Linked DNA regions of Mus musculus: regions 1, 2, 4 and 5 are each reported to be linked to region 3. The links are microRNA targets in miRTarBase. Many come from high-throughput screens and were not tested one by one. Region 3 holds a microRNA gene; each other region holds the end of a gene's coding sequence. Distances are between the middles of the regions.

The links. The annotated mature microRNA mmu-miR-144-3p reads UACAGUAUAGAUGAUGUACU and lies in region 3 at 3,578-3,597, opposite strand. An mRNA with a match to its seed (bases 2 to 7 or 8) in the 3' UTR can be bound and repressed. Matches are read on the target gene's strand: a 7mer-m8 pairs with bases 2 to 8, a 7mer-A1 pairs with bases 2 to 7 and ends in A, and an 8mer does both.
Region 1: miRTarBase lists Spred1 as a target of mmu-miR-144-3p. Seed matches in the 3' UTR shown: 7mer-A1 at 4,270-4,276.
Region 2: the mRNA of Mapre1 is a reported target of mmu-miR-144-3p. The part of its 3' UTR that is shown has no 7-base or 8-base seed match.
Region 4: the mRNA of Sptbn1 is a reported target of mmu-miR-144-3p. The part of its 3' UTR that is shown has no 7-base or 8-base seed match.
Region 5: miRTarBase lists Cab39 as a target of mmu-miR-144-3p. The part of its 3' UTR that is shown has no 7-base or 8-base seed match.

Annotation. Positions count from the first base shown.
Region 1 is chr2:117,175,852-117,181,806 of GRCm38, forward strand. It overlaps Spred1 (sprouty protein with EVH-1 domain 1, related sequence), which reads left to right. Exons shown (of 7, transcript NM_033524.3): 7 at 1,451-5,955. The coding sequence ends at 2,098. Among named protein-coding and RNA genes, the nearest start is that of Mir674, 6.3 kb to the right of the region's middle.
Region 2 is chr2:153,766,468-153,772,172 of GRCm38, forward strand. It overlaps Mapre1 (microtubule-associated protein, RP/EB family, member 1), which reads left to right. Exons shown (of 7, transcript NM_007896.3): 7 at 407-5,705. The coding sequence ends at 463. Among named protein-coding and RNA genes, the nearest start is that of Efcab8, 9.9 kb to the right of the region's middle.
Region 3 is chr11:78,070,689-78,076,643 of GRCm38, reverse strand. Mir144 (microRNA 144) reads right to left here and starts at 3,639; the gene lies at 3,574-3,639. It overlaps Eral1 (Era (G-protein)-like 1 (E. coli)), which reads left to right. Exons shown (of 10, transcript NM_022313.2): 4 at 365-411; 5 at 593-654; 6 at 810-922; 7 at 1,005-1,253; 8 at 2,017-2,166; 9 at 2,284-2,364; 10 at 2,470-3,268. The coding sequence ends at 2,592. Mir451b (microRNA 451b) reads left to right here and starts at 3,403; the gene lies at 3,403-3,474. Mir451a (microRNA 451a) reads right to left here and starts at 3,474; the gene lies at 3,403-3,474.
Region 4 is chr11:30,095,519-30,101,473 of GRCm38, reverse strand. It overlaps Sptbn1 (spectrin beta, non-erythrocytic 1), which reads left to right. Exons shown (of 35, transcript NM_175836.2): 35 at 760-2,079. The coding sequence ends at 978. Among named protein-coding and RNA genes, the nearest start is that of Eml6, 72 kb to the right of the region's middle.
Region 5 is chr1:85,847,854-85,853,808 of GRCm38, forward strand. Cab39 (calcium binding protein 39) reads left to right here. Exons shown (of 9, transcript NM_133781.5): 8 at 424-567; 9 at 1,180-3,724. The coding sequence ends at 1,368. Among named protein-coding and RNA genes, the nearest start is that of Itm2c, 44 kb to the right of the region's middle.

The DNA of each region.
Region 1 (5,955 bases), not on the chromosome of region 3:
AATAGTCCCATCACAAAAGTGAGAGGCTGAAATGAAGGTGCCACAGCTCACCCTCAGGAAGGCAAAACCATAATAAGCATTTCACTCCATTTTAGCACTTGGAATTAATCATCTTTGGGTTTGGGTTTGTCCTATTTTGCTCTTGATTTGGTAGTCCTCCACACTTCTGCCTCACCCCATGTCTCATCGCTGCCATCAGGGTCTTAGAATACCAAAGCATGCATGGTCTACTGAAGTAGGAGACTAGCCTGCCCTCTTAAACTGCAGAAGATATCTCAGCCTTCAAATTCAGGCTTCTTTACCTGAGAGCTCGGGCATGCCTGGAGCCACACAGTGCTCTTGGCATGTTGTGAAGGGATCCAGAGATTGAACCTTCCTGTCTTCACCCTGTCCTGGCTGCTTTCGTCCATGTTGGCAGCATTTTGCTTTATCCAGCTCTGCCTGGTATCCTCTCCAGTTCCCCAGTGTTTTTAATAAAGTTTCACTGGAGATTATCCAATTGCTTAGCAAGTCCTTCAGTTTGTCCTTGCGTGTGTGCGCAAGACACACACACACACACACACACACACACACTCACACACAGGATATTATAAGCAACATGAAGAAAACTGCACAGCATTTCTGAATATCTTTCCACCCAAGTTTTATCTTCCAAGTGTACCAAACATGATTGATTTTGCCACTTCCATTTTCTTTCTCCCTGTGTCCAGTAGTATGGTGTTTTTTTTTTCAGAGTCCTCACCAGGAGGACCTTATAGGCCATATTCTTCCTGTACTTTCTCTACCATAAAACACTTTTAGTTAAAAATTATTATCCGTTTCTCCATTTTTAAAGCTGTATTACAGTGGCTCCCAGCTTCTTGGCACTATAAATCTGTAAGACAGAACCAGGGGTGAGCGGATGGAGCTCCTGTTGGAAGGGATTGGCTCATCCAGAAATGGGATACAAAGCCAAAAGTTAGTCCAGGTCTCGTGGCGCAGACCTACAGGGCCAGGTACTCCAGGCTGTGGCAAGAGGAATGAGAGCACAGGAGCAGCTTTGATAGCCTCGTGAGACCTTACCTTAAAATACAAAGGGCAAAGAGAGATAGCCGATGGAGCTCGATGGTAGACTGCATATCTAGCAGGCATAAGACTCTTAAGTTTAATCTTCAGTACTAGAAAGAAAGAAAGAAAAGTGAATGCAGGAGAAGCCATTAGCATGGAATGAGGGAAAAACTGGAGCTTGTGTGCAAAGGCACCCTGCTGGCAGAACTTCCTCTTGCTCTACAGGGAGGTAGTCTTTGTTTCAGGTGTTGTCTGATTGGCTGTGGTCCAGCAGCCGAAGTGTTGATCTCAGTTAAAACTTGGTCACAGAGCTCCTTGAATGAATCCCTAGGTGGGGGTCATCCTACCACACTGACATAAAATCAACCACCATCGTCCTTACTGCAATTTTTATCTTGTCTAGGTCCCTTTGAAGTCAATCAGACATGTCAGCTTTCAAGATGAGGATGAGATTGTTAGAATAAATCCTCGAGATATCTTAATACGTCGATATGCAGACTACAGACATCCGGACATGTGGAAAAATGACTTGGAGAGAGATGATACTGACTCCAGTGTTCCATTTTCTAAACAAGACAGTAAAAAGTCAGACTATCTCTACCACTGTGGGGATGAGACTAAGTTAAGTTCTCTGAAAGACTCTGTGGTATTTAAGACACAGCCTCCCTCGTTAAAATTTAAGTCAAAACGAAGAAAAGAGGATGGGGAACGTTCTCGCTGCGTATACTGCCAGGAAAGGTTTAATCATGAAGAAAACGCCAGGGGGAAATGCCAGGACGCTCCAGATCCTGTTAAAAGATGCATATATCAAGTTAGCTGCATGCTCTGTGCTGAGAGCATGCTATATCATTGTATGTCAGACTCAGAGGGAGACTTTTCTGATCCTTGTTCGTGTGACACTAGCGATGACAAGTTCTGCCTAAGGTGGTTAGCCCTGGTAGCTCTGTCTTTCATTGTACCATGTATGTGCTGCTACGTCCCTTTGAGAATGTGCCATCGCTGTGGTGAGGCATGCGGGTGCTGTGGTGGGAAACATAAGGCTGCTGGGTGAAGCAGTCCAGGGCCGGCATGAGCTTAAACCTTCATCTCCAGGAATTAGCTAACTTGGATTTGTGGAAGCTGTTGGCAAGCAATATGGAATCTTGCCGGTATCATTGGGGCCATGCGTGGAGGAAGCAGAACTCATCAGTTCTTGTGATTTACAGATGCTAGCCGTGCCTGTTTCCCTGAGTGCATGGCATGTTCTGGGACAGATCACAGAGCATTTTCAGAAGGCAGTCATTTCTGGTTATTGATTACAAAAGGTCAACATAGAATAGGATCCAACTAAAAGGGATTAATTTTGGCATTTTCATATTTATGCACTAGGTGATGGGACTTTTTAAAGATTTGAATTCTTTAGGACATTAACTAAAAAGTGCACTAAGGGACAGTGATTTCAGTACAGAAAAGTTAGTACTTGGGAAATTAAGAGATAAGACAAGTGCAACTAAATCATTGGTTGTTTTTTGAAAGCAGTTTTATGTATAAATAACAAATGTTTATATTTAACTAAATGTAAGGTACGAACTATGACATATTAAACTTTTCTTGCCCTTCCTAGTTCTGAGGTAGATGTGCACATATCTGCCACCACATTCCATATGTGTTGAGTAGTTAACTCATCTAGTTAATAACGTTTGTGTCCATGTGAGAGATTCGGTGAGTTCATCCTCAGCTCTCTTGGGCTGCAGTTTATATTGAGTCATATCTGTACATTCTGGAGATCTAAAATCTTTAAAATACTCTAATAGCCTTGAGTGACCAACCTTTTTTTTTAAAGCACAGATGTAATTGTCTAATGTTCTGATGGAAATGTAACACTTATTTTTATATAAAGAGATTGAGTAAACAGAAGAAATTGAGGGTTCCTTTAGTTGTTTTGTTTCTGTGGTATTCAGCCAGCAAGTTGTTTTCTTTCAGAGTTTCCTCCTTCAGAGAACTTAACTGCATTTATAAACGTTTTACAAGGCAGAAGCATTAACTGGATAGTTAGTGTGAAACAGTTTCCGCTTGAGATCTCCATTTCTCACTCTGCTGAGCCAGAACTCGCACAGCTGTTTCACTGATTTTCTGTGCTTATTACTCACATAACAATGGTAATTAATACCTTTCAGTTGCATTTTATTATATTTCAGGAGCAAAGTTACTTTGCAGTAACACATATGCAGAATTCTCCCAGGAAAGTATTCAATCCACCATTGTGAATGGAAATCTTATACACCACATTCCTGTCGCAGAGCATTTGTATTATGGGATGTTTGATTTACAAAGTAGTGTGATATGCTCCAGCAAACAGGTTAAAAATACTTTGAGGTCAAATTGTCTTGGTTTTGTTTTTTTAAAGTGTTACTATTAAAACTCTTGTGAGGGATTGTTGCAAAATACTCCCTCAGGAAAGAAAGCAGTGTGCCTTTTTTGCCTTTTTTTTTTAATGGATTAAAGTTTCTGAAGTGATAAAAATGAAAATCACACTACCATTTGAAGTCCATTCTCCAGGTTTTCAGTGTCATTTCTGTGCAGTCAGTTTTATGTGTCACACTTCGGCTTGTGTTGGCTTTCTTCTTTTGCCCCAGATTAAACTGAACAATGTATATATATATAACACTATCTGTCTGTAAAATACTTTTTTTAAGAAAGCATTTATATTTATATGACAGCTTGAACTGACAACATTATGTATATAGATCATCTTGAAGTATTATTTCACATTGAAAAGAAGAAAAATATATTGATAACTATAGATGTTATGAAGAAGAGGCTATTTCTAGTTTTGTACTAAAAATCAATTGGATGAACTAAATCCAAAACCAGACACTGTCGCAGCAATTTTCAGTCTTATTTTTACTGTTTCTACATTGGAGGCTGCTGCACAGATAGATGATCTTCGTCCTTGCTGTTTTCAGAGGAGCTTGGTTTCCTAGAGCAGACTGTTACCTTTCAGGATTCCTTTTTCTTGCTGAAGTAGAGTCCTGGTTTTCCTTATGAGTGATTATCCATATTTGTAAGTTCTGGGTTTGTAATTCAGGTTGGAGCAAGGTGTGAATAACTAAAGAAAATAACTTGCTGGCAATATAGGAAATGCCATGGAAATAAACTGTGTATATACTTCTGAGAAGAACAAAATTAATCATTTTTTTTTTCTGTTAAGCACTAGTCACTATAGTGCATCTCCTGGTTCTGTACTGTATTTTATACGCAACGTACATGCTTTAATATTTTAATGTTTGTGCATTAATATTTTCAGTTTGTTTAACCACTTTGCTGCTAAGATTTTGCCATCCCGTTCCCATTTTTTCCTTTACAATTTTAAACATTTCTCTTCATTAAAAACTATGATAATGAAATTGTTTTTTTTTTAACCTTGGATTTTTGTAATTAGCACACATGAATTCAAGCCAGTCCAGAAAAGAAACTGATGATATAATGTTAATGAGTCTCTTTGTGAATTAGATGGACAGTTTAATCCAATTCCCAACATGTACGTGTAGGTGGATTCAAGAATGATTTCTTGTTCACTGTACAGATTGGGCGCTGCCATTGGGCATTTTCTTTAAAACTTCTCTTTTGTCTAGAATGTAAGCAGATAGCTCAACAAAACTGGTGAAGTAAAAGTAAATATTGAAAATGAAATCATCTGAATAGCGTGACCCAAAAATTCTCCAGCTGGGGGGCCTGTTTGCTCCTGATCTGTAGTTCTCAGAGGATGCTTGCAGCCTGTGGGGAAGCCTTAGATTTCCTGAGCAGTGCTTGCGGAGCTGCAGTGCCACCTGCTGGATGGCTTTAGACCAGCGCTGAAAGATGGAAATGGTGTCTCCAGTAAAGGAGGGCTGTGGGCTGTTCAGGGTGGCCAGTGCCCACCAGAGAAATCGGGGGTGAGGAAAAGCGCTAAGGAGTGTAAGTAAGTCTTTCCCCAAATGCATATGGTTGCTGGAAGAATTGAAGCACTTTTTCCTTACACATCCTGTTTTAAAATATTTATTGAAACTTGGAACTGGCAATCAAACTTATGTATGTACTGAAGCATTTATACAACCAGTTTCTTCAACTCAGAAGCCATTACCAAAATGGTATTCCTATTTTCTTCCCAGTACCAGTCAGGGAGAATTAAAAAAAAAATAAACATAATTACCTGTATTTTATCATGACAACTCCAGAGAGTGTGTATGTTTCTGAGTAGATGTTGATGAGGCAGGACTTAAAATTTAAAGAGAAAAACTTGAAACTACCTATTTTCATTGGTTATTCAGCAGTGCCTAAAATGAGCTTCTGAACTATTACAAATGCACTTTGGATTCATGTGTACAGTGCCATCTGGTTCTCTGGGTCAAACTTGCTTCTCCTCTCCCTCTTTCTTCTCCCGTAACTAAGTGGCACACAGGCATTTCTTAGTGTTCGTGTCGGTCTTCAAAGTGCAGAGAACGTGGTGGAGAGAATTTTATGGATCTTTTTTTTCTGTTAAAATTGAATGTCTGATTATATTTGCAACATGTAACTTGGATTAATGTGTTTTAAAGTAATTTTAATTGTAGTCCAGCAGCACATTGAGCAAGTGTAGCTTTTCTGAAAAGTAACTTGGAGAACTTCAGTTAACCGATAAAACCAACTCATCACTAAATGTCGCTGCTCTTCCTCTTGATTTGATCTAGATCCCACTTCTGCGTCTTACAGGGAACACCAAAAAGTTGCTAGTAAATGATAGTAGAGAAATAGAGGGAGTCAAACAGAAAATATTAAAAATATGCGCACACAGACAAACAGAGGTGATTTATACAAACCAGAATGAAGGTGGGGAGGGAAGGAAAATTACAGGGGGCTTTAAAAGGTACCAGTTACCTAGCAGCTGGGCAATTAGAAACCTTTCAGTTG
Region 2 (5,705 bases), not on the chromosome of region 3:
AGACACATAAATATTCACTGCTTCTTAATGCTATGAGAATAATTTGTGCTTAGTTTTTGGCATTAAGAAATGGTGCTGTTGCTGGGTGGTGGACACACCTTTAAACTAAGCACTTAGGCGGCAGAGAGGCAGGACAGTGAATTTGAAGCCAGCTTGGTTTATATTTGAGTTCTAGGCTAGGCAAGGTCTGTGTAGGGAGACCTTTGATCAAAAATCAAAACAAAAAAGAAATGGATGCTATTGTCTAAAGAATACAGTAGTGGCCACCTGGTCATGCTTCAGTGCCAGGCGTGTGGGCGACAGGGAGGAGCCTACATGTGAGGCTTAGATTGTGAGGTCAGTGAGGCGAGGGAGGAGCTGGCCCTGCTGAGTGACAGCTTTCCTTTCTTTTCATTTCCCATTTCAGGAAGGCTTTGTGATACCTGATGAAGGGGGCCCACAGGAGGAACAAGAAGAGTATTAAGCAGCCTGGACCAGCAGAGCAACATCCGAAGTCTTCACTCCAAATCATGTGCTTAACTGTTAATACTCCCTTTTATTAATCTTAGAGGATTCACTGGTTTCTTTTCATAAGCAAAAAGTACCTCTTCTTCAAAGTGCACTTTGCAGAAGTCTCACCTTTTCCGATGAGTTTGAGTTAGGAGCTTTTGCCTTGTAGCAGAGCAGTATTAACATCTAGTTGGTTTACCAGGGGAACAAGAGGCCAACCATGGGGCTCTTCATGTGGATGCTGGTCACACTGACTGATGGAGAAGGGGGTTTATAATACGAGAGGTGACAACCTCAGAAATGCAAAGACTGAATTGAATTCTAAGCTAATGTGAAATTCTGGCAGAGAACGTTTTAATAAATAAATGCCTTAAGAGTATTTAAAATATGCTTCCATATTTCAAAACATACAGTGTAACATGACAGGAGATTTTATGTGTCTGACATTGTGTCTGGGAAGGAAGGGCAGACTTTAGGCCCTTTGGAACCTGCTGTGTAGGCCTTTCAAGGCTGCTTGAATCTTATAGATGTCGACTTTGGCCCAGAAGTAAAGTTTGAAAAGTTCTGTAAAACCATTTTGTGTCAATGACCAGTTGCACCCCTGCTCTAAAAGCAAGCAGCATAGTTGCTTGTGTGACTAGAGGGCGTCTGGGCCCTGCAGTGCCTGAGGCGAAGAGCTCAGCTTCCCATCGAGCAGTCCTCTGGATCTTTTCAAACTCTCCCTCCAGTTCCTCTGTATTGTGTTTCTGGGACCTGCCCACGTCTCTGGGATTTGAATGGGGGTGGAGTCCCAGCACACTGTCTTTTAAGTTTACAGTTACACTTCTCTCTCTGCTCCCTGTGACCTCTGGAAACTCCTCTGGCTCCTTAAGTTTGCTGCTGAGCATTGTAATTACAGCAGGCAGGTGATCGTGCTGCAAGTTCTTGCTGGACCTCTGGCAAAGGAGTGATCAGTGAAGGCCAGTGTCACCTGTGCTCTGTGAGGCTAGGGTGCTCGCTGTCTGCTGGTCACTGCTCCCCATTGTCACCTGAGTACTTTGCCAGTGCACTAATCTCTTGGAGATAAAATTCTCTAGTGTGTTACTAAATGTTAAAATGTTTTTTTTTAAAGAATATACAGTACCGTGACTGAAATATTAATATTTAAAATACTTCATTCCTTAATTCTCCCTCAATTGCTTTACCCATAGCCTATTCAATTCCTTTGTTTGGCGAACTCTGCAAAATGTGTTACCCACTACTGAGATTGTTCAGCCCCTGATGTGTTTGTACTGATTTGTTTCTGGTGGTAGCTTGTCTTATGCTGTGTGTAGGAAACAGGTATTTTATGACAGAATGTTATGTAGTGCATGCTCTGTGGAATTCAGAGGAAAATCCAGGCTCAGTGATTAACAATGCCAAAAAAAGAAAAAAAAAAAACAAACAAAAAGCAAGTAACGAGCCATTGTTCAAACGACAGCGGTGCTGTTTCTCCTCTGTGGCCTTTCAGACTTCTGTTGCCCCCAAATTCCATTTTATTGGGAACCCATTTTCCACCTGGTCTTTCTTGACAGGGTTTTTTTCTACTTTAAACAGTTTTTAAATAAAATTCTGTATTTCAAGAGTGTCCTGTCTTCTGAAATGTGTCTTGCCTTGGGTATAAGCTTTTAATTCTAGAGGTAAGATAGCTATGCATCCATCTTTGGCTGAGCTTAGACAGAGGCTGAGAAATGATTCCCACCGTCTTAAATAGGACTAATCTTTTAAAATCCCTCACTTTTCTCAAGCTAACTAATCTGGCTCTCCCCTTCCTCTATCCTCCTTTCTCCTTCTCCCTTCCTTCCTCCCTCTTTTTCCTCTTCCTCCCTCCTTTTGGTTTTTAAGACAGAGCTTTTAGTATTGTTGTCCTGATTGGCCTCATATTTGTCACAGTCCTTCTTCCTCATTCTCTTGAAAGATTATGTGTGTGTGCCATCGTGCCTGGCTTAAAATTGCTTATTTTGAATTCTTTTTAAAAAAAAAAATCACATTACATTTTTCAGTCTTCTACTGCTTTAAATTCCTGTTACCCTGAGAAGGTTTTCCTCACAGAAACAGAAAGCCTGACCTAGTTGCTTAAGGCTCTTAGGAATGTAGTTGGCCGGTGTTTGGCAGATGATTTAATTGGAGGTAATTGTTTCATTGTCCTGAAAATGCATTTACAAAGTCAGTTAGTACACTCTTAAACTGGAGAGTAAAGTTGTTGCTTCTTAAAACTGTTCTATAAAGTCCTACACCTTTGAGAATGAGTTGAAAATATGATCCTCTCCTGTTGTTGTCTTGAAATGTTAAATAGGCAGAAAGGTAATTCATCTGCTCTTGAGAGTACCATGTACAGTACCCTGGCTGCTGTGGAAGTGATCTTGAGAGTACCACGTACAGTACTCTGGCTGCTGTGGAAGTGGGACTTAGTGATTTTTGTGACGTTTATATTCACTGCTGCCCCTGGAGGTTGATAATGATTCAATCCAGAATCATTACCAGTTTGGGGAATAATTTGGCACCATCTGCATTCATCATCTTTAAGAAGAAACCCTGAAGGGATGTATGTTGTGTGCTGTTAGCTGAGAAGTTATTAGGTAAGAGGTGAAGTGGAGACTGTATCCATTGACCTGGCTTAGCTGTATAAAGCCTTAATGTGACTAATTCAGGTTAGGAGGATGGTGCAGCCTGAACGTGCTGTTGGCAAGGTCTGTGGTATGTAGAGGAACAGGCTACTGCAGATAGGTTTGGATTCAGGATAGGTTCTTCAGGCCGAATTGATGTGATTGCTTCCCAATTTCTTGGGAGATTGGTGTAGAATGTTTAGAAGTTCATCCCCAGAAGTTCTTTTTTTTTGTTTTTGTTTCTGTTTTTTGAGACAGGGTTTCTCTGTATAGCCCTGGCTGTCCTGGAACTCACTCTGTAGACCAGGCTGGCCTCGAACTTAGAAATCCACCTGCCTCTGCCTCCCAAGGGCTGGGATTAAAGGCGTGCGCCACCACTGCCCGGCCCTGGAAGTTCTTGAGCTGGGAGATTATGAATCTGCATTTTAAGGCCCCTCAGGTGGCCTAGACCTGGGCCCTGCTTAGATGAAGCTTTAAGTCTTATCGTGTCAGTGAGACATCAGATGTGAGGGTTCTAATCCACCTCTTACTTTGCTTTATTTTGTTTTTTTCTTGTTTGCAAATCAAGGGCTCTGATGTTGGCTGAAGGGCCTCACACTCTGCATGTTTTTTAGAATCCGAGGAAACTAACAGGCCAAGTGCAGAAACTGTTGTCTGGAAACAGGAGACATTATTTCATGGCCAGAAGTTGTTATAGATTAGAAAAAAACGTAGAACATGTTTTTTATGCCCTAAAAATTCAGGGCACGACTTGGGTATTTTGGAAGTGAAGTGCTGAGTTCTTCATTGGCTCTCTCTCAGCTTGGTGGCTGGTGGCTGGTGGCATCCAGCTCCTCTGTGTTCAGGCAGCTTTCATCCTGCTGTTCCCAGGTGAAGGGCTAAACACATTCTGGATTTCGTGCAAATGAGGAATTGTTGACTCCCAGTTCACTGGCTTTAAAAAGACCATCCGTGATTCAAGAATTGCCCTCTAGGATGTGAAGTGAGGACAGAAGCGGTTTTCTTTTGCAGTAACCATGGGTCTCCTCAGGGGAGCTTTCCTTTAAAGGCTACAGCAGGGTTAGTGTGAGGAGCTTTTTGGGTGATTCCCCCTAATTCATGGTTTGCTTAGTTCACAAATCAGTCTGTGGGCTTTAAGCCTGGCAAGCCTGGCCAGATTAGCTTGCTAGTGTGTGTGTGACCCAAATCTCACCGTTGTCAGCAGGGAGAGTGAAAGGAAGTGCTCTCAGCAAGCTAACCGATAGCTTGTGATCATTGTTATTTTTCTGTTCTGTTACTTTCTGTGAGTGATGATGTCATACCTTTGAACTCTTCATAGGTCATAAAATTTCAAAACTGAACAAGATGATATTCATGTATCTTCATTATGTTCACTGCCTCTACATAGTGTTTGAGTTGTGTTCTAACAAGGTAGGAAGGATTTTCTCAAAGACCAGGAGGGTTCTGTGCTTTTACTGAACTGACTGACCCTTGACCTAGATGGCTTTAGTGCTACCTAGTTGTAACTTGTGAAGGCCAATGCTTTTCTCTCCTCTTTGATTTAATGTTCTTGTAGCTTAGGGGCTTTCTGGTCACATTGTTGCCAGGTAGCTTCATTAACTTGATTGCCTAGGTGAGTGGGTCTAACCTTAGAGACATTTCTAACCTCCTGAATCCAGAGCCTTAAATCTTCTTGTTGTTTTGAGGCAGAGTCTCATCTATTCCAGACTGGCCTTGAACCCACTATGTATATTCTAGGGTGATTTTGAATGAATGCTGGGATTATAGGCATGTTATACCATGCCCAACATCAAACCCAGGCCTTCATATCTGCTGAGCAAATATCAGCCAAGCCACATATTTAGTTAGCCCCATGAGTGTTGTTTTATTTTGAAAAATTGTAACTGCTTTTGAGGATGGTAAGCTATGTGGTTTATTTATTTTATTTTTATACAGACAGGTATAGATGCCAAGTATGTGTCACCTCACACCTCAGTAATTTATTTCATTTTTGAGAGGGTTTCACTATGTGGCTCTGGCTGACCTGGAACTTGTCATGCAGATTAGGCTGGCCTGGAGCTCACAAGTGCTGGGATCACAGGTGTGCACCATCATTCCTGGCTTGCATGTTAAAACAGCATTGGTGTTGCTGAATGTGAATGAAGAAGTATCTGTGAGGATCTGGGTCTGCTGTGGCTCCTGCCGGCCTGAGGGCCCTTTTGGTGATCAGCATGCCCTTGGATGAGATCATATTTTCAAAGGTATTCTCTAGGTTGTAATGTCTGAATCCTTTTCAAGTTGGCTTTGAACTTTTCCTGAATCACTATGCTGAGACTTATCTAGATTTTTCCTTCTATATGCTTTCCCACATAAAAAAAAAAAACTTGTTATTGATTATATTTTGACTCTTTTGAACTTTTTCCTAAAATGAATAGAATACACTGTAACTAAGTCCATTTCTCCTCCCACCCCATTTTTCTTCCAGATAAGGAGGAAATTATATCCTAGCATATTTTAGTTATGTTAAATACTGATAGTTTAGTCAGTGAAAATAGGATATAATTTTTAAAAACCCTACCATTAAGTTAGTGTGTGTCATGGGAAAATTAGAAA
Region 3 (5,955 bases):
CTTTCTTTTTTCTTTTTTTTTTTTTAAAGATTTATTTATTTATTATATGTAAGTACACTGTAGCTGTCTTCAGACACACTAGAAAAGGGTGTCAGATCTTGTTACGGATGGTTGTGAGCCACCATGTGGTTGCTGGGATTTGAACTCATGACCTTCTGAAGAGCAGTCAGTGCTCTTATCCACTGAGCTATCTCACCAGCCTGACTCTGCAAATTCTTGTTAGAATCCTTGAATACTTACCTAATATGAGTAAAGCCCTGGACTGAATCCTAAGACTTAAAGTGTGTGTGGCCCTTTTCTCCACTAGTCCATTAAAAATCTTTTCTTTTTTGGGGGGGCGGTGTGGGTATCTTTCTGATTCTAGATTCTGCTTGACACACCTGGCATCATCAGTCCTGTTAAACAGAAGAGGTATTAGCTATGGGGACACATGCTTGTGTGTTTGTTGGGGGAGGGGTGATTTTTTTAAAAAGAGGAGAAAAGGGGGAGGGGATATTTGTTCATAGGAGCTGGAAGTTTTCCCTTTTATCTACCATTCCTCATAAGAACTGACCAGTCATAAGCCTTCCTGACTGATACATTTGTTCTTTAGGCACCATCTGGAGCGCTCTTTGCTGGAAGATCCATGGACGAGCATGGAATCTGCTGATCTTGGTTAGACTCAAACTAAAGATCTGAAGCCCTATTAATGGGGCCTTTCATTCCTGGGAGTTTGGGAGCCGAGGTCTGGCTGGGGCCCGTAGCCAGGAACTTGTCGTGGGTCAGGAGGAAGGTTACAGATATCCTTTTGTCTGTCTGCCACCTTCTAGTTGTAGTTCTTGTGGATGTGTCAGACAAGTGGACCAGGAGTCGGCTCAACCCCCAGGTGCTGCAGTGCTTGACCAAGTTCTCTCAGGTCCCTAGCATCCTCGTCTTAAACAAGGTAAGGACTGCCCACGTGAGAGAGTTTTCCTTCCAGAGTCCCATGGCTCTCACCATGCACTTTGTTCATCCCGCATGTCCAGGTAGATTGCCTGAAGCAGAAGTCAGTTCTCCTGGAGCTGACAGCAGCCCTCACTGAAGGTGTTGTCAATGGCAAGAAGCTTAATATCAAGCAGGCCTTGCGCTCACGCTCCAGCACCCACTGCCCTGGCCCTGAAACTGAGGGCCCAAATGCACACTCAGTGAGGAACCCTCAGAGAATTGGCTGGCCCTACTTCCAGGAGATCTTCATGTTATCAGCACTAAACAACAAGGATGTGAACACATTGAAGGTCAGTTAGCCTTGCCCATAATCCACCACTTCTACCATGTTACGATAGGCCTCATCCAGACCAGCCTGATATCCACCGAGATCCTGTCTTTTAAAAGACAAAACAAAACTCTGGCTCTGGTCATTTATGTTTGTAATCCCCGAATTTGAAAGGCCAAGGCAAGAGAATCAGGATTTCAAGGTCATTTTTAACCACATAGTGAATTCAAGAATAGCTTCAGTTACAATGAGACCCTGTCTCAGGAAACAGAAAACAGCCAGGGGTGGTGGCACACAGCTGTTATCCCAGCACTCAGGAGGCAGAGGTAGAAGGATTACTCAGTTTGAGGTCAACCTGGTTTCCATTGTGAGTTCTAGGCCAGCCAAGCAACATAGAGACCAGAAACAAAGTTAGGAATGTATCTCAGTTGGTAGAATGCTTGTCTCGTGTGCTGGATTCAGTATCTAGCCCCACATAAGCTGGACACACACGTGGGTGCACACCTGCTACTATAGCATTTAGGAGATAGAGACAGGAAGATTGGAGGCTCATTCCCAGCCTGGACAAACGAGGATGGACAAGGCCAGCTTGATCTGCCTGAGATGCTCTCTTAAAGGTGTTTCAGTCAGTTGTGGCAGCTCGCCCCTGTAGTCAGCTACTATGTAGTAATTTTAAGGTCAGCTTGGGCTACATGAGGATGGGTCATAGCCTTTTCCTCCTAGAAGCATGCATAAACAAATGTTCTGATGGGGGTTAAGAACCTACTCTTCCTTTGTTCCCACAGCAATACCTTCTGACACAGGCCCAGCCAGGACCCTGGGAGTTCCACAGTGGTGTGCTCACTAGCCAGACACCCGAAGAGATCTGTGCCAATAAAATCAGAGAGAAGCTCTTAGAGTACCTGCCTGAGGAGGTGCCCTACGGTGTGCAGCAGGTGTGGGCAGAGGAAAAGGACACAGTGCCTGTATACCAGGCACACCCCTGGAACAGTTGGGTACCAAGAGATACAGAGATGAGCCTGCCTGATTAGTCCTGATGTCTCCTTATACAGAAGACAGTGATATGGGAGGAAGGACCAAGTGGAGAGCTAGTGATCCAACAGAACCTTCTGGTGCCCAAAGAATCTCATGTGGTAAGTGAGGGATGCTCAGAGAAGGGTAGCAGTGTTACCCATGGCCTCTTCCCCATCTGTGAGGCCAAGAGCAGAACCATGTGCCTCTCTTTTCACTACTTGCAGAGGATCCTGATTGGTCAGAAGGGCCTCTTGATCTCCCAGATTGCACAGGAGGTGGGCCGGGACCTCATGGACATCTTCCACTGTGACGTTCTCATCCGCCTCTCTGTGAAACTCCTCAAATGACCATCCTCTGTTGCTTCTCCCAGTGGATCCCTGCTCAAGCTGCTGGCAGAGTCACTGACTAGAACTACCCCTGTCAGAGGGGTCTACAGGACTGGGAAGGGCCATGGACACTGACTGGTTTCCATTGTGAGGGACCCATAGCTACAGCTGCATATGTAGCAGAGGATGGCCTAGTCGGTCGGTCATCAATGGGAGGAGAGGCCCTTGGTCCTGTGAAGGTCCTGTGCCAGCCAGCCTGGCATTGCCGAGTCTGCACAGTGCTTGCCCAACCATGTTTCCACTTAGCTCAGTTCTCGGGGCGTTCCTCTGCCTAGGGTCTCAGTCAGTTGTATAGGATACATGCTGAACCACACCCTAGAACCCATGGTTCTAAGTCATGTCCACCCCGCTAGCATTGGAACCAAACTCTTGCCCTGAGTTTCCAGTTGTTGGTAGGAACACAATTTTTCTCTTCTCCCCCAAGTTCCTCACCTTGAAGTTGCATAAGGACCCGTGTTTCCTTTTTCTTTTATTATTATTATTATTTTTTTTTTTGAGACCGGGTTCTTACCCTACAACTCTGACTGGCTGGCTATCTCTACATAGATCAGGCTAGCTTTAAACTCACAAAGGTCCTCCCATCCCATCCAACCACCCAGCCTCGGATGCTAATAAAGTTAAATGACAAGTGCTCTTATTCTTATCTTTTATTTCTTTGGCACAGTGAAGAGGAAAATGTACCCTTTCCCCCAACCCCATTCTCTTGTCAGCCTGGGTGTCCTTTTCTTCCAGCAGTCTGCTCCAGGGTCATGAGCTCTTCTTGGCACAGTTTGTGGGAGCAGCAAGAGAACCGTTACCATTACTAAACTCAGTAATGGTAACGGTTTCCTCGCCATTCCCAAGTGCCACAGCTGTCAGCAGGCTTGATTAGGCCGAGCAGTGAGCCCGTGTACTTCTGCATCTCTGCTGCAAACCAGGCAGGCTCTGGAGGTGGGGTACCCAGACTAGTACATCATCTATACTGTAGTGTCTCATCACAAACTTACAGTATATGATGATATCCCAGCCAAGGTCCTGGAGGAGGAGGTGAGCAGCAGGCCTGGAGTGAGCCAGGGGATTGGCTCAGGGTCAGTCAGGGACACCTAAGTCCCTACCTCTGCTCCTCCACTTCCCTCCCAGAGCAGCATCTCCCTGATCCTGTGGTCCAGGATAACCCCAGGTGGCTTAGAGAAGGAAGCTAAGGTCTACTCGGGTCTCTTAGGGATCCAGAGTTACAGGCAGAAACGAAGTTGTGAGGCAGGAGCTTCCCTCTGGGCAGACCTATAAGCAGGCTGACAGCCACTCCAAGGACTGCTTACCTGGAGCTGGAGTGGAGCTGGAGCCTCGTCCAGGGAATCCTCTGCACAGGGAGAGCCTGCCTTGTCTCTTCTCACTCAAGCAGCTTGGCTTTTAACCCTCTGGCCCCTCCCCTGGGTGGGGCACGTTTTCCCGGGTTCTAGAAGTCCCTGCTTCTTAACTCTTTGCCTGCTGGCTTCCTGAGACAAGCTGAGGCTTGGCTCCCTTTTTGTTTATCTTCTGCTTAGTTTCCTGTGCTGGGAATGAAACTGAAGGCTGAAGATGCTAGCCAAGAACCCCAACACTGACACTACACCGCCACCCTGCCTCCCGTCTTCTAAGTGGGTGACCATTCACCCCCAACCCCACAAAGAAGGTTACCTGCCTACCCCACTGGGCTAGGAAAGAGAAAGACCCTCACCACGTCCTTCAGGGCTTAGTTGTTCGGGCCTCGCTGAAAGGTCCCAGTTTGTTGTGGGTGATGATGGGAATGTTAGTTGAATCTGAATAGGACAGGGAGGTCCTGGCAACTGGACCTAGATGGAATCTATCTGGGAGCAGGCTCCATGTACCCTCAGCCTGACTCCATCCCTAGGCTTTGACTCTGTTTGAGCTGGGTGGGCAGAGCTGAAGCTTGCAAGCCACCTCTGGCAAGGTCCGTGGACAAGTGGGCCTCTGCTGGGAAGCTGAGGAGCACCTCAGCCCCCAGGCCTTGTGGGAGCCAGTGTAAGGGCCGGGGCATTTCATCAGAGCTCAAGACACAATGAGAGCCTGATATGTTTGGGTCTCTCCCTGTGGAGAAGCAGAAACTTGTGCTGAGACACTCCCCACAGCTGAGCCTCTGCTATTTAGACCCTCATTCTGGGGGATGTTCCGCCCCCTTTCTTATCCTAGACAGTCTGGTCTGTTTCTTCCTTTGAGGGTGGGGGGTGAGGGGTGGTGAATGGGAGTGGGAGGAGAGACCTAACCTTCGGTTCTGTGGAGGTGTCTATTTCCAGCATTGCTCCACCTCTGCCATGCCTGATCTCCCCTCACCTAGTTAGCACTGTCAGGTCCCTAAGTGTCCCTGCCACAGGGACGCTTCTCTATCTATTCACTCTTTAATTTATTTATTTATTTTTTTTGGTTTGGTTTTTCCAGACAGGGTTTCTCTGTATAGCCCTGGCTGTCCTGGAACTCACTTTGTAGACCAGGCTGGCCTCGAACTCAGAAATCCGCCTGCCTCTGCCTCCCGAGTGCTAGGATTAAAGGCGTGCGCCACCACGCCCGGCCTTTAATTTTCTTTAAAGACACATCTTATGTAGGTATGAGTGACAGTGCTTTTATTATTGTTTCTTTGTTTTGTCCTGAGAAAGGATCTCACTGTGTATCCCTGGATGGCCTGGAACTTTGTATGTAGCCCAGGCTGGCCTGGAACTTAGAGATCTGGCAGCCTCTGCCTCCTGAGTGCTTGGGTTAGAGGTGTGCAATATCTTGCCATGGTCTCCTTTTATTACTGAAACAGAATCTCATGTGGCCTCACATTCTATTTTCCTTTGTTTGTGAAGATGGGCTTTCTCTGTAGACTTGTGTCCTGAAACTATAAACCAGGCTGGCCTTGAACTCACAGAGATCTGCCTGCCTCTGCCTCTGATTGCTGGGGGTAAAGGCCTGTGCTATCACCACCTGCTCAAATTCCATTTGTAACTGAGGATGGCACTGAACTTCTGAGCTTCCTGTGTCTGATTACTGAGTGCAAGGGCTGCAGGCCTTCACCACTATGCCAGGTTTCTTCAGTGCTGAGAATGGACCCAGAGCCTTACGGCTGTGAGCAAGCATTGGAACAACTCCACTGCACCTCCGCCCTCTGCCCCTCTTTTCACTTTCTGTTTTGGGTTGCTCAGGCTGACATTGAAGCTAACTGTATAGTTTAGGCAGCCCTTGATTTTTTTTTAATCCTCCTGCCTCAAGCCTCCCAAGTAACTGGCATTACAGGCCTTTGCCAGCAGGCTGACTTGCATAAAGTGCTTTTACAAGGCACAGATGCTAGCCACTGGAGTTCAAATAAGC
Region 4 (5,955 bases), 48 Mb from region 3:
GAAACTAGAGCAACATCCACTAGATTCACTGGAAACTAGGAGCAAGGAAGGCCCTTGCCTGCTGCTCCTTAGAGCAAGGCACAGAGAGGTGGCCCAAGTCTGAGTATATGTCCTGATGCCCAGTCCAAAGCCTCTACACTGTACTCCATTACCATTAGCCTCACCTCCTTGGAGAAGAGAGGGTCACCTCAGTGATCATAACATGTGCAGCAATTTACATTTTAAAAGGCCCCTTCCACCAGGAGAGGTAACTCTGGAAAAGGGCGTGGGGACGTGTAAGATGGCTTAGTTGGTAAAGGGCCTGCCATCCAGTCTGATGACTTGAGTTTGATCCCCAGGACATACTTTATATAAAGAGAAAATCAACTCTGAAAAATTGTCTTCTGATGAGCATGAACTTACGTGTCTACACACACACATACACACATGAAAACATTTTTTTAATTTAGGGAGGAAAAACACTTTCTAGAATGAGAGTGATATCTCACAGCCTTAGTCTAGTCCTGTAGCTCTTGTAGGTATGTAGGACTACATCCCAGAGTAATGGTCTGCGGGTGCAGAGCAGTGGGCCCATCTGAGGGGCTAAGCCATATCCTCTGTGGTATTGAGAATGTAGATAAGCATTTAAGGACAGTGACCCTAGAGGCACTGCTGCTGAGCCTTCTAGCTGTCAGGCTTGGATCGTCATGGAGGTAAGACCAACTCCTCATGCCCGCCCCTCTTGACCAAGTCTTAACCTGTGTCCCTTCCTCTATCTAGGAGGAAATGAACACATGGATCCAGGCTATCTCCTCTGCCATCTCCTCTGACAAACACGACACATCTGCCAGCACCCAGAGTACGCCAGCATCCAGTCGGGCGCAGACCTTACCCACCAGCGTCGTCACCATCACCAGCGAGTCCAGTCCTGGCAAGAGGGAGAAGGATAAAGAGAAAGACAAAGAGAAGAGGTTCAGCCTTTTCGGCAAGAAGAAGTGAACTTCCCTGTTGTCCCGCCCTTCTCTTACCTTTAGTAAGAGTCCAGCATGCAAGTTCCGACCAACACATTACTCTGTGCCTAATGTTCCTCCATGTAGTTGATTTTTTTTCTTTTCTTTTTTTTTTATTTTTGAAATAAATTTTTTAATTTATAGAGTATTTCTGAGGGGTGGGGGAACCATACCTAAACACTTTATCTCCAAGTTTAAAAAGTTTGAGGTACAGAGGGAAGGCCAGATTTTTTTAATGAAATTATATAGATTAGATCTCAGTATTTAAACTGTTCCTCAATTTTGTGAGGCTGTGTTGGAAATAACCCGCCTCTGATGCTGTTGGTATGCAAGGCAGTGGTGCTTACACAATATTTCCTGTGCTCTCCAGAGACGATGGACCGATTTCCTGACACTACTCTCCCTTCACTTCCGTGGTTACCCTGAGTCTTGACTTACAAATGCCCACGATGGGTGTAGCCTTTATTAAACAGATCATGTATTCTGATCTCTTGCTGCAGCCACAGTGCAGCTCCATGTAAACCTACAGGCCAAACCATTTGTATCCGGCATCACTTACTAACACACAACATGTGGCTTTTCTGCATCAATTGCTGTGACAGTTCAGAATGTTGGTATACAAGAAAGAATAGAAAATTGATAAGGTTTTAAATAATCTGTAATTTCAGTCTCTTTTTTTCTGAAATACATTATATTGTATGTTTGAGATAATTCTAGTACAAAGTATAATAAACTAGATGTATAATAAACCCTTTAAATCATTGCTAAGTGTATAAGTGGAACTGAAGCATTTACTGGACAAAGTAATGTTACTCTAATGGTTACTTGCTTGTGCGTGGCCACACTGTTATAATTTGCTTCATTACCCTGCTATTTGATACATAGTGTGCATTTCTCTGTCACTGTAACTATTGTAATAACAAATTTTCATCTTACTGCACAATCAAAATGGCATCTATAGTAATGACCTCCAGAGTCTGAGCTTGGACAGAGAGTGGGCGCTCAGGCCTGGTGCTCCATCATACGACCTGTACCTCTCAACTTTTGCCCTGTTAAATATATGCTATGTCATTAAATGCTTTTAAATCTAGCCTATGACTAGCCGGTGTTTTTCCTTCCCTGTCCAAGCATGCCTAATAGGGAATTTGCAAAGTGTGTGAGTGTGAGTGTGTGTGTGTGTGTGTGTGTGTGTGTGTGTGTGTGTGTGTGTGTGTGTGTGTGTGTGTGTGTGTTGGCCTTGGAAGCTGTAACAAATGAAGAATGAATAGGCGTGGTGAATGGTGATACTTTTCATGTCTTATAGCCTTAAGACCTGCACAAGGAGAGGCAAATGTTTCATGAAAAAGAACAAGGGATAATAATAAATACTATAGACAAAGGAAGGCTGTCTTCCCTTACAGAACAAAAGCCATTCTTGGTAATATGCAAAAACTGGACATGGCTATGGTAGTGTTCATTGAGTCTTCCTCAATGTCAAGTTTGCCACAGGGCTTCCTAGTGCTTAGGACTTCTGAGGTGGACAGTCAGAGGCTATCTTGGTTGTGGTATCTTTCAAATCTAGCAGTCAAGGTTTCAAATCTAGCAGTCAAGGTTTACTGGTCAAGGCCTCAGCAAAAAGCACTAGGCAAAGGTGGTTCTGCACTCAGGACTTTGCTGAGCCCTGGTTTATTGTGTCCCTGTCCCCACACACCCTCGAGGGTGGATGGATATGATGGGGCCATAGAGGCAAAAGGCTTGTGAACGTTTCCATTTGGCCTTCACTTCTCCCTTTGAGAATTGGTTACACTTTGGAGACCCACTGTATCTCAAGTGGGAATGGAGGCAGAGGAATGCTTGCAGGTTCCTGAAACTAATTCTTTTAAAAGGCCATTTCATCTTACCCAGACACAAAAACTTTCTCTTTGGGGTGTCTGGGTAGGAGGGAGATTTCCACAAGGCACTGAGGCCAAATCCTAGCACACACAGTTCATTTCCCAGGAGCATCTGCTCAAGAGTGGAGTTGCCATTTTAGATTGTTTTAGTGAATTACTTCTTTTATTCCCCAAGCATAATTTTCTGAGGGAAATCTGTTGCTCACTGTTTAAAATCTCCCACCCAGAGTCTTCATCTAAGGTAGTGGTTCTCGACCTCTGGGTCAAGAAATGAGATATGCGTATCAGATACTTATATTATGATTAATAACAGCAAAATTACAGTTATGAAATAGCAACAAAATAATGTTAGGGTTGGGGTTCCTACAACATGAGAAACTATGTTAAAGGGCCACAGCATTAGGAGTGCTGAGAATTTAGTGTAAGAATGGCTTAGATTTTAAGGGCACTGTCCTATCCACTTAATGAAGATGGCATAAAGAGTGTGGATTGAAGCCAGTATTTTGTGCATAAATCAGGTGCTTTCTGGCTGCCAGCTGTTAAACGTCCCTGCCACATCTTTCTTTTTTTGTTATGGCCTTGTTCCTGTGCACATGTGATCATTTTATCTTAGTTTACACCTTACCTTCTGCTCTTTGAGACCAGGATGGTTAAACTAGGATTCCTACCAGCACCATGTCAAATATCTCCAATTACTTATGCCAAGCACCCTCTATGTGCCAGCCACTCCAGGAAACAGTGCTCAGGGGTATAAGTGCCACACTCCTTGCTATGTGCTCCAACCTCTCTTGACCTCAGGAGGGTCTAGATTTCAGAGGTGAACACCACTGTATATAACTCAAGTTCTGTCTACCTGGTAGTACTTTGCTTTTGAACATGTTTGCTAACATACTTAAGCCGTCCTCTGGCTGTCCTGGAACTCACTCTGTAGTCCAGGCTGCCCTCAAACTTAGAGATCTCTTTGCCTCTGCTTCCCAAGTAGCATCCTAATATTCCCCCTTTATTTTCCGTCCACAACTGACTTGGGAGAGAAGACACTGGTTACTAAATAGGAAGGGCTTCAAAGGGGCCCTGTTCTTATTGTTCTTAAGGTACAATCTGCAAAGCTCACTGCTCCAGAAGTTGGTAGAGGAATACTTCAGATATACCTATAGGTCAACAGCAAAAAGCTAATGTGGGGTGGTACACATTTCCATGTCAAGCTGCAGAGACAGCTGAACAGTTAAGAGCACTTGGCTGTTCTTGCAGAGGACCCAGGTTAGGTTCCCAGCACCCACACCTCTGGCTTCTCAGATCCAGCCAGCAGTAGCTATAATTCCAGGAGATGGAACACTGTTTTCTGGTTTCCACAGGCACCAGGCATACATGTGGTGCACATACATAAATGCTGGCATATATACATACATACATACACATAAATCTTTTAAGTTTACACCTTAGCAAAATCCCCGTCTTAGTTAAGGTTTTCTTGCTATGAAGAGCCACCATGACCACAACAACTCTTATTATAAAGGAAAACATTTACTTGGAGCTGGCTTACAGTTTCAGAGGTTTAGTCTGTTATTGTTCGTCATTGCAGGAAACATGATGGCATGCAGGTAGACATGGTGCTAGAGAATGAGTTGAGAGGGTGTTTTTGTTTTGTTTTAAAATTATATATTATGTATGTAAAGTTCTGCCTACCTGTATGCCTACATGCCAAAAGAGGTTACCAGATCTCATTATGAGCCACCATTTAGTTGCTGGGAATTGAACTCAGGATCTCCAGAAGAACACCCAATGTTCCTAACCTCTGAGCCCAGGAGTTGAGAGTTCTACATCTTGATCCACAGGACTGCCACACTGGGCATAGCTTAAGTGTAGGAGACTTCAAAGCTTGCCCTCACCGTGACACATTTCCTCCAAGTCCACACCTCCTAATAGTGCCACTTCTTTTGAGACAAGCATTCAAACACATGACTGTGAGGGCCATTCCTATTCAAATCACCACACCTGCCAAAGGATCAGCAAGAAAAACACTAGGCAGGAAGAGCCTAGAGTTAAGAATAGAGAGGAATCTTGCTTGCTTGTTTGACCTGTGCCTGCTCCTTGGCGTGCTCTGTTCATTGTGTTTCAGCAGAGATGGGCTGGACAGTGGCAATGTTGAGCCACTAGAAGCAAGTTTGGAAATAAGGTCTTCCAAAAAAAGGCTGGAAGGAGGCAGAATGTCCTACATTCCCCGGGAGGGGAAGGATTTAAATTTGGGAATAGAACCTGTTCACTTAAATTAAGACATTTAACATGGTTGTAAGGGAGAAGGAAGAAGAGCCCTGATACTGTCCTTGGGTTCTGGGGCTGGAGGGCCCCTAGCACTCAAAGCCCAACCAAGAGAAGTGCCTTTGCCACTTTGGCTGTAACCAGCATTTACAAGTGTTAGCTGATAGTGCATGTATGAGGTGCTCCCCTTAGCCTTGTTACCTCATTCATGTGACCTCAGAGTGATGCTAGTCACTGAGGTATTGCTACTAAGCAGAAGTGTCACCACAAAGGGAAGACACCAATGCCAGAGCTGGTGGGCCAAGACCATAGATGGTGTCTGAAGCTTCAACAAGGCCTTCCTGACCTTATGACTGTATGTCTTATGGCCTCATCTTCACTCATCTGTGTTATGTCTAGATCTTGGAAGGAGGATGTTTGTCTGGTTTCTCTTTGGTGTAGGCTTAGCCTTTGTGGATAGAGAGTTGAACGTGAGCATACTATCCAGAAGAAAGAAGTGCTTTGCTAAGAACTGAGGAGCGGGCTGGTGAGATGGCTCAGTGGTTAAGAGCACCAACTGCTCTTCCGAAGGTCCTGAGTTCAAATCCCAGCAACCACATGGTGGCTCACAACCATCTGTAACAAGATCTGACGCCCTCTTCTGGAGTGTCTGAAGACAGCTACAGTGTACTCACATATAATAAAATAAAATAAATTAAAAAAAAAAAAAGAACTGAGGAACTGGAGCAGAATCAAGCATGCAAGAACAACCCTTAGGCCAGTCAGCCGGTGATATGATCTGGAGCTGAGCGACTGGTTCTACTTGTTTCCTCTCTTTGTTCTTAGATAGTGACGTTATC
Region 5 (5,955 bases), not on the chromosome of region 3:
GTAAACACTGAGTTTACGTGGAAGCGCTGAGGCCGGTGAAAGTGCCTTCAGCTCCCTGCTTGGTTTCTTACCATCAGGGCTGTCTTGAGGAACCACTGCCGAAGAGTCAGTGAGGCCGGTGTGAGAAGATGAAGCACTTAGCTTGTGCTTAGGTAAACACCCTTCATCCCGGAAAGCAAGTCCTGCTAAATAGAGTTTAAAACAGGAAAGAGATTACTTAATGTTAATAATCAGAACTTCCTAGTACCCTTTCCTTCTTTTGGGTAGTGGTAGTTTGTTACATTGTCCATTTTTATTTTTGTTGCTGTGTTTTGAAACTAGTCTCTTCTACCATCAAGTGATGACTATCAAATGGGTTGTTTAATTTTTTTTTATTTGCTTTAAGTTTTAATAATTTAAGAGTAATGGTCTATGTCTTCTCAGCTTCTGGGTGAGCTGCTGTTGGACAGACACAACTTCACAATTATGACAAAGTACATCAGCAAGCCTGAGAACCTCAAGCTAATGATGAACCTCCTCCGAGACAAGAGCCGCAACATCCAGTTCGAGGCCTTCCACGTGTTCAAGGTGAGCCGCCCGCCCGGGCACCGGTGCCAGCTTCTGAAACTGGTCACTGCAGTTACTAAACTAGTGCCTGTTTTGGTAACCAAAGTGATAACTCAGTTCAGTCAGAATGTTTAACAGAAGCGGGACCTGGATGGAAATGGGCTGTGCCCTTGTACAAGAGAATGGGATGGGAAAGTATAGTCAGAGAGGGTGTTACTCTCTTCAGCTTGCACAGAAGATAGTTGGAGACAAACACGACCCCTGCTGCCCTTCTCCCCCACCCTCCCCTTCACTCTTTCTGCAGATTCAGTGAGGGCTGGTGCAAAGCCAGAGGTAGTTTTAATGCTTTCCTGGGGGGGCGGGGGGGATCCTCTTAAATTTCAGTCTGACCTCTTATGCCCAGAAATAATTTGATTCTAAAAGTCAAAGTCGATATTTAGTCCTAAGTGCTGTGTTTCAGGGTTGGCAGAATGACTTGGCAATCTTTGTGCTAAACATGTAGTCATTATTATTACCCTCACTATCATATAAAAGTAAGTTCTTCTAAAGAAAAACCCCTGGTCCCTGCCTGCCCAGGAGCTTGCTGGATGGACACTGATGTCTTTGTGACTGGCGTGGTGTTCTCTTCTACAGGTGTTTGTGGCCAACCCCAACAAGACGCAGCCCATCCTAGACATCCTCCTCAAGAACCAGACCAAGCTCATCGAGTTCCTCAGCAAGTTTCAGAACGACAGGACCGAGGACGAGCAGTTCAACGACGAGAAGACCTACTTAGTCAAGCAGATCAGGGATTTGAAGAGAGCCGCCCAGCAGGAAGCCTAGTGTCTACTCAGCCCCGGTCCCATCCAAGCTCAGCACTGGCTGTCAGCTCCTCAGCATCAGGCACTCTCATCGGTTCATGGGGAGCACTACTGCTAATCTGCTGTTAAGTGAACGGTTTTTCATTTTACCTTTTTGTTTTTCAGTCCAGGTTGGAGAACGTAGCTGCTGCTGCTTGCACATTAGAGCGCACGTGGTCTTTCTTTCCCTTGATCTCTGTGTCATTTCAGAACTCACAGACTCCATTTGCTACAGGAGTTCTGAACATGGCTGGGTTCATGAAAGCAAATGAGAGTGAGAGTGGTCTAGGGAAAAGACGGTGATACATCGCTGACACCTGCCCGTCCATCGGCACTGCTCTCTGCAGGTCTGTGCAGTATGGCACGGGCATACCCACCATCTCTGCCGAAGGAAGATGGCGCATACAGGGATTGTTGGAGAACTGTATCCAGTGTGAGCTTTGGGGAGGATAAAGTTGGTGTGCAAATAAATTGATACTGAAGCTTAGCAACTTGTCAAGTGTGGAGCTTCATAAGGTCATAAGAAAGTGTATATATGCTTTTTCACAGCTTTCTAGAACTTTGTGACATTTGATTTTCTTGAAACTTGTAAACCTGGATAGGTTGAAGGGTGTTTTAATTTTACTTTTGAAGGTGTTTTAAAACAGTAGAGCTAGCAGCAACACCTTATGTTTCATTTCAACACTGCTTACAGGTTTCTTTTGTATATAATTCTTAGAATGCTCATTTCTTTTAAATCGTTTAATTTGTACAGCAGAGGAATGTTATTGTAGTAGTATGTAACTATTACCTGAGTTTTGCAACAAACAAAAAACAAAAAAAAGAATGCTCATATGTAATTGAAATACTTGAGATTACATGAAAATGCTGATTTTAACATTTAAGGATCACAGCATTAAAAGAAAAAGAACCAATCCCTTGTATTCAGTTACCCAATGGGGCGCCGTTGGCAGGCAGAACTACATACCTGGAACTCTGTCTGCTACATATTCTTGCAGAATATTGGCCTTATTCATTTAAAATGAGTCCTAAGGTTGCCATATCTATGAATGATACAGATTATGCTAAATAATGCTGGTTTTTTTGTTTTGTTTTGTTTTGTTTGTGAGGGACCTCCTATAGAGCACCGTTTCTTTCTTAGAGTAATATCCAGTACAGTAGCCGAGTAACTGAATAATTCTAACTTTGGCTTCTCTAAGGGAAAGAAGAGCCCTGGTCCTGATGTCCTGGGAGAGATGGATGGGTTTAATGTCCTTTTCCTTAATGCTGCAGATGATCAGTATTTATAAAGTAACCGATTTTGCACCACTTTTTGTGACTGTGACCACAGCAGAACAATGTCTCCTAGACTGTATCTACATAAAGTTACTAGAATGGTGTCTGTCTGTCTTAGTGACACACGGATCACAACTAACAACTTAAAATCAGAGTTTGCCCGATCCAATTCAGCATGGCTGTAGCTGACTAAAAAAATTTACATAATTATTCTTTGTTAGCCTCTCTTACTAACTGAATTATTCATTGGCCAGTAAAAGGAGCCTCCTAGCTGACGTTTTAGCAGGTTTTAAGGTTTCCTTCAAGGAATACAAGTCAGAAAAACCACTCCAGAAAATATAGGTCTGTTCTATTTCATCTAAATGGCAGTCTACAGTAAAGGGTTTCCAAGGCTCTCTTTACCCATGTGCGTGCGTGTATAGTTGATGGTCTCTAGTAGAGATAGAGAAAGCATTCAGGCTTCTGGACAAGGACATTCTCAGCTGGGTAGTGTGCAGACTCAGCTGTGCTAAGTGACCCAGTCCTTGCCACCGCGTTGTGAGTCAGGATTTGGTGACAGAGTGGCCATTTCACCAAGTGGAAGGAGTGTCTCTTTGCCAAGCTAGCTCTTAGAACTTGAGACAACAGAACAGTTTCCACTTGGGCTAACACAGAGAGCGGTGCTAGAGTCTTGCTGTGGAAGATGGGATGCAGTGTGTCAGGGAACTGTCACTCACACATTGGAAGCTGAGGGCTGAGAAGGCTTTCTGGATTGTTTTTAAACAGAACAATGTGAAAACATTCAAGATTGAAAAGTTGCATTTAAAGTGTGATCACTTTCTAGGTTCCTATTACCAGAACGATTATCCTGGGTGTGGTTTCTTTGGTGTTATAAAGGGTTAATTTTACTTAAGGCAGTTACTTAATGTGATTTTTTTTTTTTTAACCCTTAAAAAAAGTGGGAGATGTATACAATTGTTAATGACATGAAAGTGTTTCCTTTCTCCTGAGGAAAAGTGAATTTCTTATCAGAATATCTGGCTGGCCCTGTAATTTAAATTAAAATAAAATTTTGGAGAAACTGTCTTGTGATGTCCTTTAGACAGTCATATGTCACTGTGGAGAATTCCATCAAGAGACAAAAGCACGTGATTTGTCAGTGGGTAGGAAATAGTTAACACTTTTTTCCGTACTCAAGGTTTAGTGCGCCTGCAGTTTTACCCTTATCTTGCCCCTGTGTGAGGTGATTATTGTGTCACATAGCCCATTCTTGTCTCCAAGTTCAATATCAGTGGTACCATTTTATGGTACCTCTGCCCACCCCCATGGGAGTGTAGATGTATCTTTTGTTCCTTTATCAACAGTGGAGACTAACTGCTTGACAGGGAGACTTACAGGTCACCGGAGCATGTCCATGGTGAAGGTGAGACCTAGAAAGCCTAGTCCTCTGGCACCAAGGCCCATGTGGCCCCTATTCTGTCTCCAGAGGTGGCTCCTCGTCTATGTACAACCCTGCCAACACTTAACCTTGTCAGTCAATAAGCTCTCCATTTTGGGCCACAGAGCACAGGGCCTGCTCTTGCCAGCGATACTTCAGTAGAGTAAAAGCATCTTACTGTTCATCTGCCAGGCCAGAGTTACCTTCCCCGAAGCTCACATTCCATTCCCTACCCCCATGGTCTCCATGGGATCCTTGCAGTCTTCCAGCTGCATGCTGACCAGGCATCCTGGGCTGCTTATGTCCATCCTAACCTGCAAGGACTCATGGGCTCATGATCATTGAATCCCCAAGGGCTGCAGTGTTCCACAGTCACCCCAGGTCGTAGGGGATCCCACTACCCTTGCATTGCCCTGCCTCAACCTGGTTGCTCTGCCAACCATCGCTGAGCTGCTTCCTCATAATTCAACAACTAGACCTCAGGAGTGATCTGAAAATTTCCTACCATGTGTGATCATCAGTTTTCTTCTACTAAAGCTTACTTCTAGTTATCCCATGTACCTCCCTCCACGAAGCACTTAGGAGGCCAAGACTGTCTTGCTAAGGCCTGGAAGCTCCGGGCCTCCAGGAATCTGTCTCCCTGCACTCAACACTACCCTGAGGGCCAGTGACTGCACAAAGATGGAACTGTTGTGGCACCATCCCCTACAAGGACCTCAGAAACCCATGTCTGATTCCCTGTATTTGTGTCCCTGGAGAGCGCTCTCGCTCTCTCTTTCTCTCTCTCTCCCCCTCCCTCCCTCCCTCCCTTTCTCTCTCTCTCCCTTACACACACACACCAGGTTCCTGGATAAGAGATTACATCCTCTGCAGTTACCTGCAACTCAAGTACCTTGTAGGTGTCTATGGACATAATCTGCATTTGCACACAGGTGACAGGTTTTGTAATTTTAGCTGATCAAAATTAAAACTTCCCAGGCAATAACTTAACCACCTGCAACTCTGTGGTCCCTGGAATGTGTCTCAGTGACACTCTGTTGGGTGGAAATGGGGATAGATACATTTTGCAGTAGGTGGAGTTAGGTGGAGTTTCCTTTCTGTTGAGATGCAGATGTGAACAGTGGCCTCAGTGACTAGCAGGCCATTGGAAACTCCCAGGAGCCACTGGGGTCCTGGCCCTCTTGGAGTTTCTACCAGTGGGTAGAGCTGGATGCCAATCTGTAACTTGGACTCAGGACCATCAGTGTGCCTTGTACACTGCCTATATATGATGGCCACGGGGCCCTTCTCAGGACCCAGCAACTTCTCTGATGATGAATGACAACTGGCTCGTAGGAAAAGAAAAACTGCTTCTCAATCTGTCTGAAGTGTGTTCATCTGCCTTCTGGACTCTGAAGCAGGTCTGAGCCCCAACATCCACCATAATACCCAGCTTTGATCCTCACTGACCCAAGTGTTTCCCAAGACCTGGTCCCAAACATGATATTGCCTCATTGGAAGCTGTGTCCCAAGACTGTCCCAAACAGCCTGCCTAGCACCCCATCCCTGTAGCAACCCAGCCTCTAGGTGGCTGCACTGAGCTGCTTTTATGCTTTAAGCCCACTGGAGGGCAGTGTAGTTCCTTGGTTTAGTGCTGCAGATTTATCTGGGCATTGAAAAGACCTAGGAGTCCAGTTTTTGGGGGGGTTTTGTTTGTTTGATTTATTTATTTATTTATTTATTTTGGTTCTGGTGGGTTTTTTTGGTTTTGTTTTTTTTTTTTTTTGTATTATTTATTTAGGTTCTGGTGTTGGGCAGCCTGGAGATTGTTGGAGGGACTTCACTTTCAAACAAGCTGGAGTAGTTAGGTAGGGATAGAAACAGATGTGGGGAGCAGAG